2 linked regions of the Drosophila melanogaster genome follow. The gene in region 2 interacts genetically with the main gene of each other region. Each region holds a gene or a part of one and is shown on either strand. Other genes may lie near its edges. The genes, in order: pdm3 and Or42a.

Region 1 (3,927 bases), 2.5 Mb from region 2:
CCAGTGCAACTGCGAGCCCAGTTAATTCTCGCTAAATAATTGCCAACGATAACGAGGCGTGTGTAATGTGTAGTTGGGAGCAGGGCAATGGCAATAGCTAACTCTGCTTGGCAACGACAATGGAGCAGGCAACAAAGAGGCTAAATTCTGTATTAATTTGCAATTAATGCAGCTAATTATATTTAATTAAATGAGCGGGCCACGCTAACAATGCACTGCATAGATACGTTTTCTACTCGGATGCCGATGAGGGAAGGGCGGTGGGATCTGCGGGATCGCTGGGATCGGTTGAATCGGTGGAAACGGCGGCGGCAGCAGGGATCCAAAGTGGAGCTGAGGGGAGGGGAATCCAAGCAGAGCTTGGACAGTGGGAAAAATGTAGCGCAGGTTGGTGCGGCTTTGAAATGAAACTGATTATTACAATTGTTGTTACGCCCGCTGGCGCTGTTGTTAGTGCGAATTGTGCGCCGCTGCTGCTGTTTATTGTATCTCATAGATACGTTTAGATTATTTTTTGCAAAAATGACACTGAGCCACCGGCAAGTCAATTGTAATACGTTTTAGTAATTTTTCGTGGGGTGGCAGCAGTCGCAAGGCTCAGCACATTAAACTATTTATGTGTAGAGTTTCATTCTGATTTCGTTTTAGCGATCGTTTGATGAGCCTCATTGTTGCAAATTGCCACTGTCCACTGCCGTCGAGCCGTATTATTAGTTTGTTTGTGGCTATTTATTATATTTGGTTTTATTATTAGAACGTCGCAACTATTTTTGAGACCCTCGCCAAGTTTGCTCATGCACATGCCCCCATGCTCATGCCGGTCCAACGATAATGCTGATGTTGATAAAATTAACGTTAATTAAAGTTATTAACCGCCTGCAGCGAAATCGCATCAATTTATTGGTTTTTGCATACTACCATGTCAGGGTTGAGATTTACATAAAAACTGCATTTGGCTGTTTCGAGCAATATTCGAGTGAGTGGAGTGCGTGAGAGGCTAAAAAGGTTTGATATTTCTAACTTGATAATGATGATGAGCACTTCACTTAAATGTCTTTTTTTATTGCAGCCCCATTATTTAGCTTACCATTTTGGGTTGAGTAGCTGCCATAACGTTCAGCCATGCAGATTTTTTAAGCTTTGTAATAAGCCGGAAATTTTGAGATTTATTTAAATATTTCCGAAATTCATCCGCTAAAATGTCCAACCACTGACACACGTAAAAATTTGGCGTATGGAAATTTTATCAAATCAGAAATATATATAAAAGTTTTAAAATTACTTTTATTATGATATTACAATTAATTTTAGTAAATCAATTATATACATGTGAATATATATATATGTGAAAAAAACTGTTTCAGACTATTGGGAAGACCATTTATAATTACTTTAATACCTCTAAAATTTGGTTCCCATAAAAGATTTTAAACTGATGATAGTCAATTGCATGATATACTTCTTCAAAACATATAATATAAATTCACAAGAGCTTAAATCAAGTACTTTGAGATATTTACCGTTATTTACAGATTCGCAAGCTGTTGCCAAAATCAACGAAAGAGTTTTTATGTTCCACTAGCTTTTCCTGAATCCTGTTTTTCATTCACCTTTTAATGGTCGTTTGGTTTTGATGTGTAATTTCTTAACTCTTATCACAATTGAGCACTGTATTCAAAGTATTCATGAGTACCTATGAGTGTAGCAACGAGTATCTGACAGATGGTTATCACCCACGCACTTCAGATGAGACGATCGCAACGCGCCAAAAATTCGGAACTGAGTAGTTTCGAAACGGATTCAAAAATCGCGGAGCAACGGCTGTACAAAACACATGGGGCTCAAAAGTTGCAGTGGCAGCTGTTAAAGATGAATCGTGGGCACACGCCGAAGTTTATTTGCTTGGGTATTGTATGTTGCACTTTGGTTGTTTGTTTGTTGCACGAGTCGAGGGGCGTCCAAGATATATGTGGCCGTTCAATGCGATTCCGGTTCAGATCAGCCGTCGTACGTTCAGGCGCAGCGTCGTCCGTCGACTGAATGAACGTGTGGCGCACGAGCGGCGCTTTGGACCCCCAGCAATCGCAATCATCAGCATAAGTAGCAACAGCAAAGGAGCAGCAGCAACAACAGCAGCAACAACATCGGCAAACACGAGCAAACAAAACGAAGGCGAGGAACCCGAAGCCGCAGGCCCAGCTCAGCGGGTGCGAGCGAGAAAGCGACCGGGGTCTCTCTCACTCACTGCCTCTCGTTCTCTCTCGCTCTGGCTCTCTCTCTGTCGCTCTCTCGCCCACCCCCTAGCCCAAGCCCCACTGGCGGTGCAGCGACGCCGGCAGAGCGCCGACTGCGCAGGAGCAGCAACGGTATATATGCAATTTGCTTGGCACTGTTAAAATAAAAATAATGACGTCATTAAGCGCACAAATGAGCGGCGCTGCTGCTGCAGTCGACGTCGACAGCGCTGCCGGCGCAGACTGAGCTTATAACTGTTGTTCTGAGAAGGAGAAGTTGCACACTTGACGAAAGGCGAGCACTTAACGACGGCGAGGCAGAGATAGAAAGAGAAGGAGAGCGGTCGCGCGAGGGAGAGGGCGCGAGTGTGGGTGAGCGCTTTTGTGAGCGCATTTTGAGCATTTATTACAGCTAAACATTGCACTTTTTACACCGAACGGTGGGAGCGCATTTAGATTCTACATACATATCTTTGGAGATTTGCAAAATAATATTCAAAATCTTTAAACTGTTTGACATAATTTTAAATCCACTTGTACAAATTAACAATGCTTAATTATAATGGAAAAGTAGGAAGTCACCGCAATTTAAAAATCAATAAAATTTATTTTTATTTTTCATTTTATCGTACCAATTTAGAAACTTAATTATGATTTTCTTAATAAATGCCACAACCTCTCTCAACACACAACAACTTAGAATTTATTTTAAGCTTCAGAGGAAATTGTTGGATAAACCAAACCTGTGATATGCATCACAAGACGACTTGTCAAATGCCCCGAAATTTCACCCCAGCTCGACCCCTCGACAACTATTGCTGGGAATTAATAATTTAGGTCTCGATCCGCAGAGCAGAGCCAATGCCAAAAGCTCCAGTCACTCAGCTCGTCGGTCAAAACCCCACTCGAAGCCCAGAACCCTCTTGCTACCACTCCAGCCCTCCGTCCACCGTCCTCCAACTCCCACCCACCCACAATGTGACGTGTGCCGGGTCTAGTGAACCACACCCCTCCGCCCCTTTTGCAACGGCTCGAACCGCTTCCAGAAAACCGAAAAGTGCCAATAAATATGGAAACGTTTTGCCTTGTTCTGCCCACTCTTCCTCCCACTCTTCCACCCAATTCTCTGCCATCCCTCTCTGCCACGTCTTCTGCTCCTTCTTCGGCACTCTTTCATCTCCACTGGCAAAAACTTTACCAAATTTCAATTCAATTTATAAGAAAGGCGGTTCTCACTTTGGGTAACATAAAAAGAACGTGATAATTAGATCCAAATTACAAAAACATTAATTTCATAAAATTAAATTTTAAATTTTCACATTAGTTAAATTAGTAACTAATATATTTTATTTTTATTTTATTAATTTATAAATTGGATACTACTGATATTATTGATTGCACGTAGGTTACTATACCTTTTATTCTCCATATAATACACTGTAATAATTACGTGTACATATATTTTCTTTTTATCAACACTAACAATCATAAATTTTTTAGGTGTATCCTTGCTCCTTGGCTACCTTTGCACTAATTCACATTTGATGTTTTGTTGTCTGCGCTTGTTGCCGTTGCCGCTTGCATTTTTCTGGTCAATGAGGTTACAGTCAAGTCACTAGACAAGCCCCCGCCGCAGTCCGCCCCCCTTCCCACCCCTCCAGGGGGCAGAAGATGCAGCAGCGACCGACCGGTG
Region 2 (3,927 bases):
TAAATACTTTTGACCACCTCTGTATTTGAAAAACAAAAAAGAATGCTTAGTCAAGTTCCCCGACTATCAGATACCCGTTACTCAGCTAGTGGGAATGCGAACGCAAAATTTCATAATTTTTCTGGGATATCGATAGATAGAAAGAAAAATTTTAAAAATTGTTTAAAAAAGTGGACCGTTAGGAAAATGTGGGGGGAGAGGCGTGACCAGTGTTTTTGGTATACCGATAAAATTTGGGAAGGCAAACAATTAAACGAAGTTAGAGTGGGTGTAACAAAAAGATATTTGGCCCATCGATAGAAATTTACAAGCCTAATAAAATTAAAAAAAAATATCCAACATGTTTTCAAAAGCTAAAGTTATAAGTTCATTAGTCTTCATGATTTGACCGATTGGGAATTTCCTGCTGCAGAGTGTATATGGTATGGTAGTATCATCGGATACATAGTGTGGTATCGAAATACTCTATAGCTTTATCGCAGTAGTTCCTTGGTCCACGTGCATTTGTAAACGTTTTTTTGAAGTGATCCCATGCCACCAATAAATCGCGTTTCTTGCGCTTTGGCTTTCTATACTTTTATTTGCTCCTCCCTTAAAACTGTTAAATTACAAATTCCATCTATAAAAACCATTGTATGCATATGGACGTGCAGGTATGTATACATTAAAAAAATAGCAGACTCGGCCTTTGGGTTTCCAAATGTCTCACTCTTGACATTCGGCTTTTCCCGGACTTTTAGCTCTTGGTACCCCGGTACACTAAAACGAACCGTAAACCGTGTACATTCCATTAGCAGCGAATCAATACATAGTACTGATCGCAATCGGTTAACAACGGAAAATTGTGCATGACACCGTTCGGAAACAAACTTGAACAGCGTTGGCGTCATTAGAATCTGTATGCTTAGTCTAAACGTCTTCAGCTTTAATACAATAGTTTTCAAGATCACAACATAAATAGAGACAGACAGATAGTTTGGATGGTTTGACTTGGCTAGTGATCCGATCAATAATATGGTCGAGATCTTTGGAACCATAAATGCCAGAAGGTTGAGGTTAAGCAGGTACAGATTCTAGAGACATAGACGCAGCGCAAGTTTGATGACCCATGTTGCCACGCACTCTAATGCCCACAAATCACCCAAAATTGCCACGCCCACACTTATGAAAAATGCTTTGATAGCTTATCATATTTCTATCGATTTGCCAAAAAAAAGTGTTGTCCCCTTACGTCAACAAACCTCACACTTAAAAAATTTTTTTTGCCCTTTTATCGTTTTATTGTTTATCTAACTAATTTCAACCGATTTGACAAACAACTTTTTGGCCACACCCACTTTAATGCCCAATGAGAAAAATTTTCCTAATTTTATTCCCCAATATCATTTTTGCGTTTGCAATCACACTAGCTGAGTAACGGGTATCTGATAGTCGGGGAACTCGACTAGATCATTCTCTCTTGTTTCCTCACAAATTTCTATTTACAAAATATTTTAAAAAATGTTGAAACTTCTCGTTCGCACTCCCCACTAATGGTTTAAATAAATATATTTTAATATTATTATTATTTTTTCTATATTTTCCATAAATGTGCTACCGATGTCTTAAACAGAACACAAATGCAAACTAAATCCTCTTCTTTGTGAACGATTGCAGCCTGTTAATTTTTTCGTCGTGCTAAGGGAATCATCATTTATTAATGGAATAGTGTAAACTTTTACACTTATGTGAAGCGTTATCCAATGGGCTTTCATTCTTTAGGTCATTTGAATTGTGTCAACCCTCTGCAATGACTAATAGAGAGAAGGGTATTTCAATCTATACACTGCAGACTTTAGTAAACTTTATTACCCCTTGAGTAATTGATTTCCACAAACGAGTTTTCAAGTGTCGCCTATGAATTATCTAATTGACGATTGATGGACTTATAATCACGCCATTGGCGGCCCTATAAAAGGACATTGCAGACGGTGCTTTAGTTCAATTGTTGAAATTAGAGTGCATTCACTATGGATCTGCGAAGGTGGTTTCCGACCTTGTACACCCAGTCGAAGGATTCGCCAGTTCGCTCCCGAGACGCGACCCTGTACCTCCTACGCTGCGTCTTCTTAATGGGCGTCCGCAAGCCACCTGCCAAGTTTTTCGTGGCCTACGTGCTCTGGTCCTTCGCACTGAATTTCTGCTCAACATTTTATCAGCCAATTGGCTTTCTCACAGGCTATATAAGCCATTTATCAGAGTTCTCCCCGGGAGAGTTTCTAACTTCGCTGCAGGTGGCCTTTAATGCTTGGTCCTGCTCTACAAAAGTCCTGATAGTGTGGGCACTAGTTAAGCGCTTTGACGAGGCTAATAACCTTCTCGACGAGATGGATAGGCGTATCACAGACCCCGGAGAGCGTCTTCAGATTCATCGCGCTGTCTCCCTCAGTAACCGTATATTCTTCTTTTTCATGGCAGTCTACATGGTTTATGCCACTAATACGTTTCTGTCGGCGATCTTCATTGGAAGGCCACCGTACCAAAATTACTACCCTTTTCTGGACTGGCGATCTAGCACTCTGCATCTAGCTCTGCAGGCCGGTCTGGAATACTTCGCCATGGCTGGCGCCTGCTTCCAGGACGTTTGCGTTGATTGCTACCCAGTCAATTTCGTTTTGGTCCTGCGTGCCCACATGTCGATCTTCGCGGAGCGCCTTCGACGTTTGGGAACTTATCCTTATGAAAGCCAGGAGCAGAAATATGAACGATTGGTTCAGTGCATACAAGATCACAAAGTAATTTTGCGGTGAGTAAACGGAAATAATGTACATATAAATATAAATTAGGGTGCACTGTGGAAAATTCACGCACTTTTTTGGGACAAAACTTATTTTCTGTTGGGCTAGATCGACTTGATTTGTGATCCTGGTCGAAAATATATTTACCCTTAAAATGTGGCAACCTTTTTCAATACCATGACCTCTTTTACAGATTTGTTGACTGCCTGCGTCCTGTTATTTCTGGTACCATCTTCGTGCAATTCTTGGTTGTGGGGTTGGTGCTGGGCTTTACCCTAATTAACATTGTCCTGTTCGCCAACTTGGGATCGGCCATCGCAGCGCTCTCGTTTATGGCCGCAGTGCTTCTAGAGACGACTCCCTTCTGCATATTGTGCAATTATCTCACAGAAGACTGCTACAAGCTGGCCGATGCCCTGTTTCAGTCAAACTGGATTGATGAGGAGAAACGATACCAAAAGACACTCATGTACTTCCTACAGAAACTGCAGCAGCCTATAACCTTCATGGCTATGAACGTGTTTCCAATATCTGTGGGAACTAACATCAGTGTAAGCAGATGTGCCCTTTAATGAAATTTTTGACATTTGTTTTACTCTTGGTTTCCTTGAAGGTCACAAAATTTTCGTTCTCCGTCTTTACTCTCGTAAAACAAATGAACATATCTGAGAAACTTGCCAAATCTGAAATGGAAGAGTGAAAAAGTTTATTCGAATTTAAAATCACACATGAAAGAAATTAAAGTACACGGTAATAAAATTTTGATAGTTTTTTAACACTGTTGCTAGCGGGTTGGGTACCGATTTTTAAAATTACTTTAAATTAAACAAAAACACTACTGCAATTAGGTAAGGTAATGTAAGGGTTATGAATTTCATAGTTTCCTTTTTACCGCAACATAATATAATATAATCATGCGTATCTTGAAAAATATATATTTATTTTTTGAAAAGTGAGCTTTAAACCTACTTGGTACTTATCTACATATAAAGAGCAGGGAAATCTGAAGAGCAAATACCATTACAGCCGTACCGGGATAGAGCTAGTAAATTTTGGAATATCAATAAAAATTTCCAAAAATTAAACAAGAGAGATTGCTATAGTCGACTTCGTTACTCACCTATGACTCGTTACTCACCTATAATTTTTC

What was found.
Region 1: of Or42a (region 2) and pdm3, changing one suppresses a phenotype caused by changing the other (phenotypic suppression), as found in Drosophila melanogaster (one study listed by BioGRID).

The regions. Positions count from the first base shown.
Region 1 is NT_033778.4:8,325,601-8,329,527, reverse strand, and holds the start of pdm3 (pou domain motif 3), read right to left. Parts: upstream 2,039-3,927; 5' UTR 1,521-2,038; intron 1-1,520.
Region 2 is NT_033778.4:5,791,046-5,794,972, reverse strand, and holds Or42a (odorant receptor 42a), read left to right. Parts: upstream 1-2,005; 5' UTR 2,006-2,009; coding exon 2,010-2,785; intron 2,786-2,970; coding exon 2,971-3,328; intron 3,329-3,390; coding exon 3,391-3,477; 3' UTR 3,478-3,532; downstream 3,533-3,927. UniProt on the Drosophila melanogaster protein: Odorant receptor which mediates acceptance or avoidance behavior, depending on its substrates. The odorant receptor repertoire encodes a large collection of odor stimuli that vary widely in identity, intensity, and duration.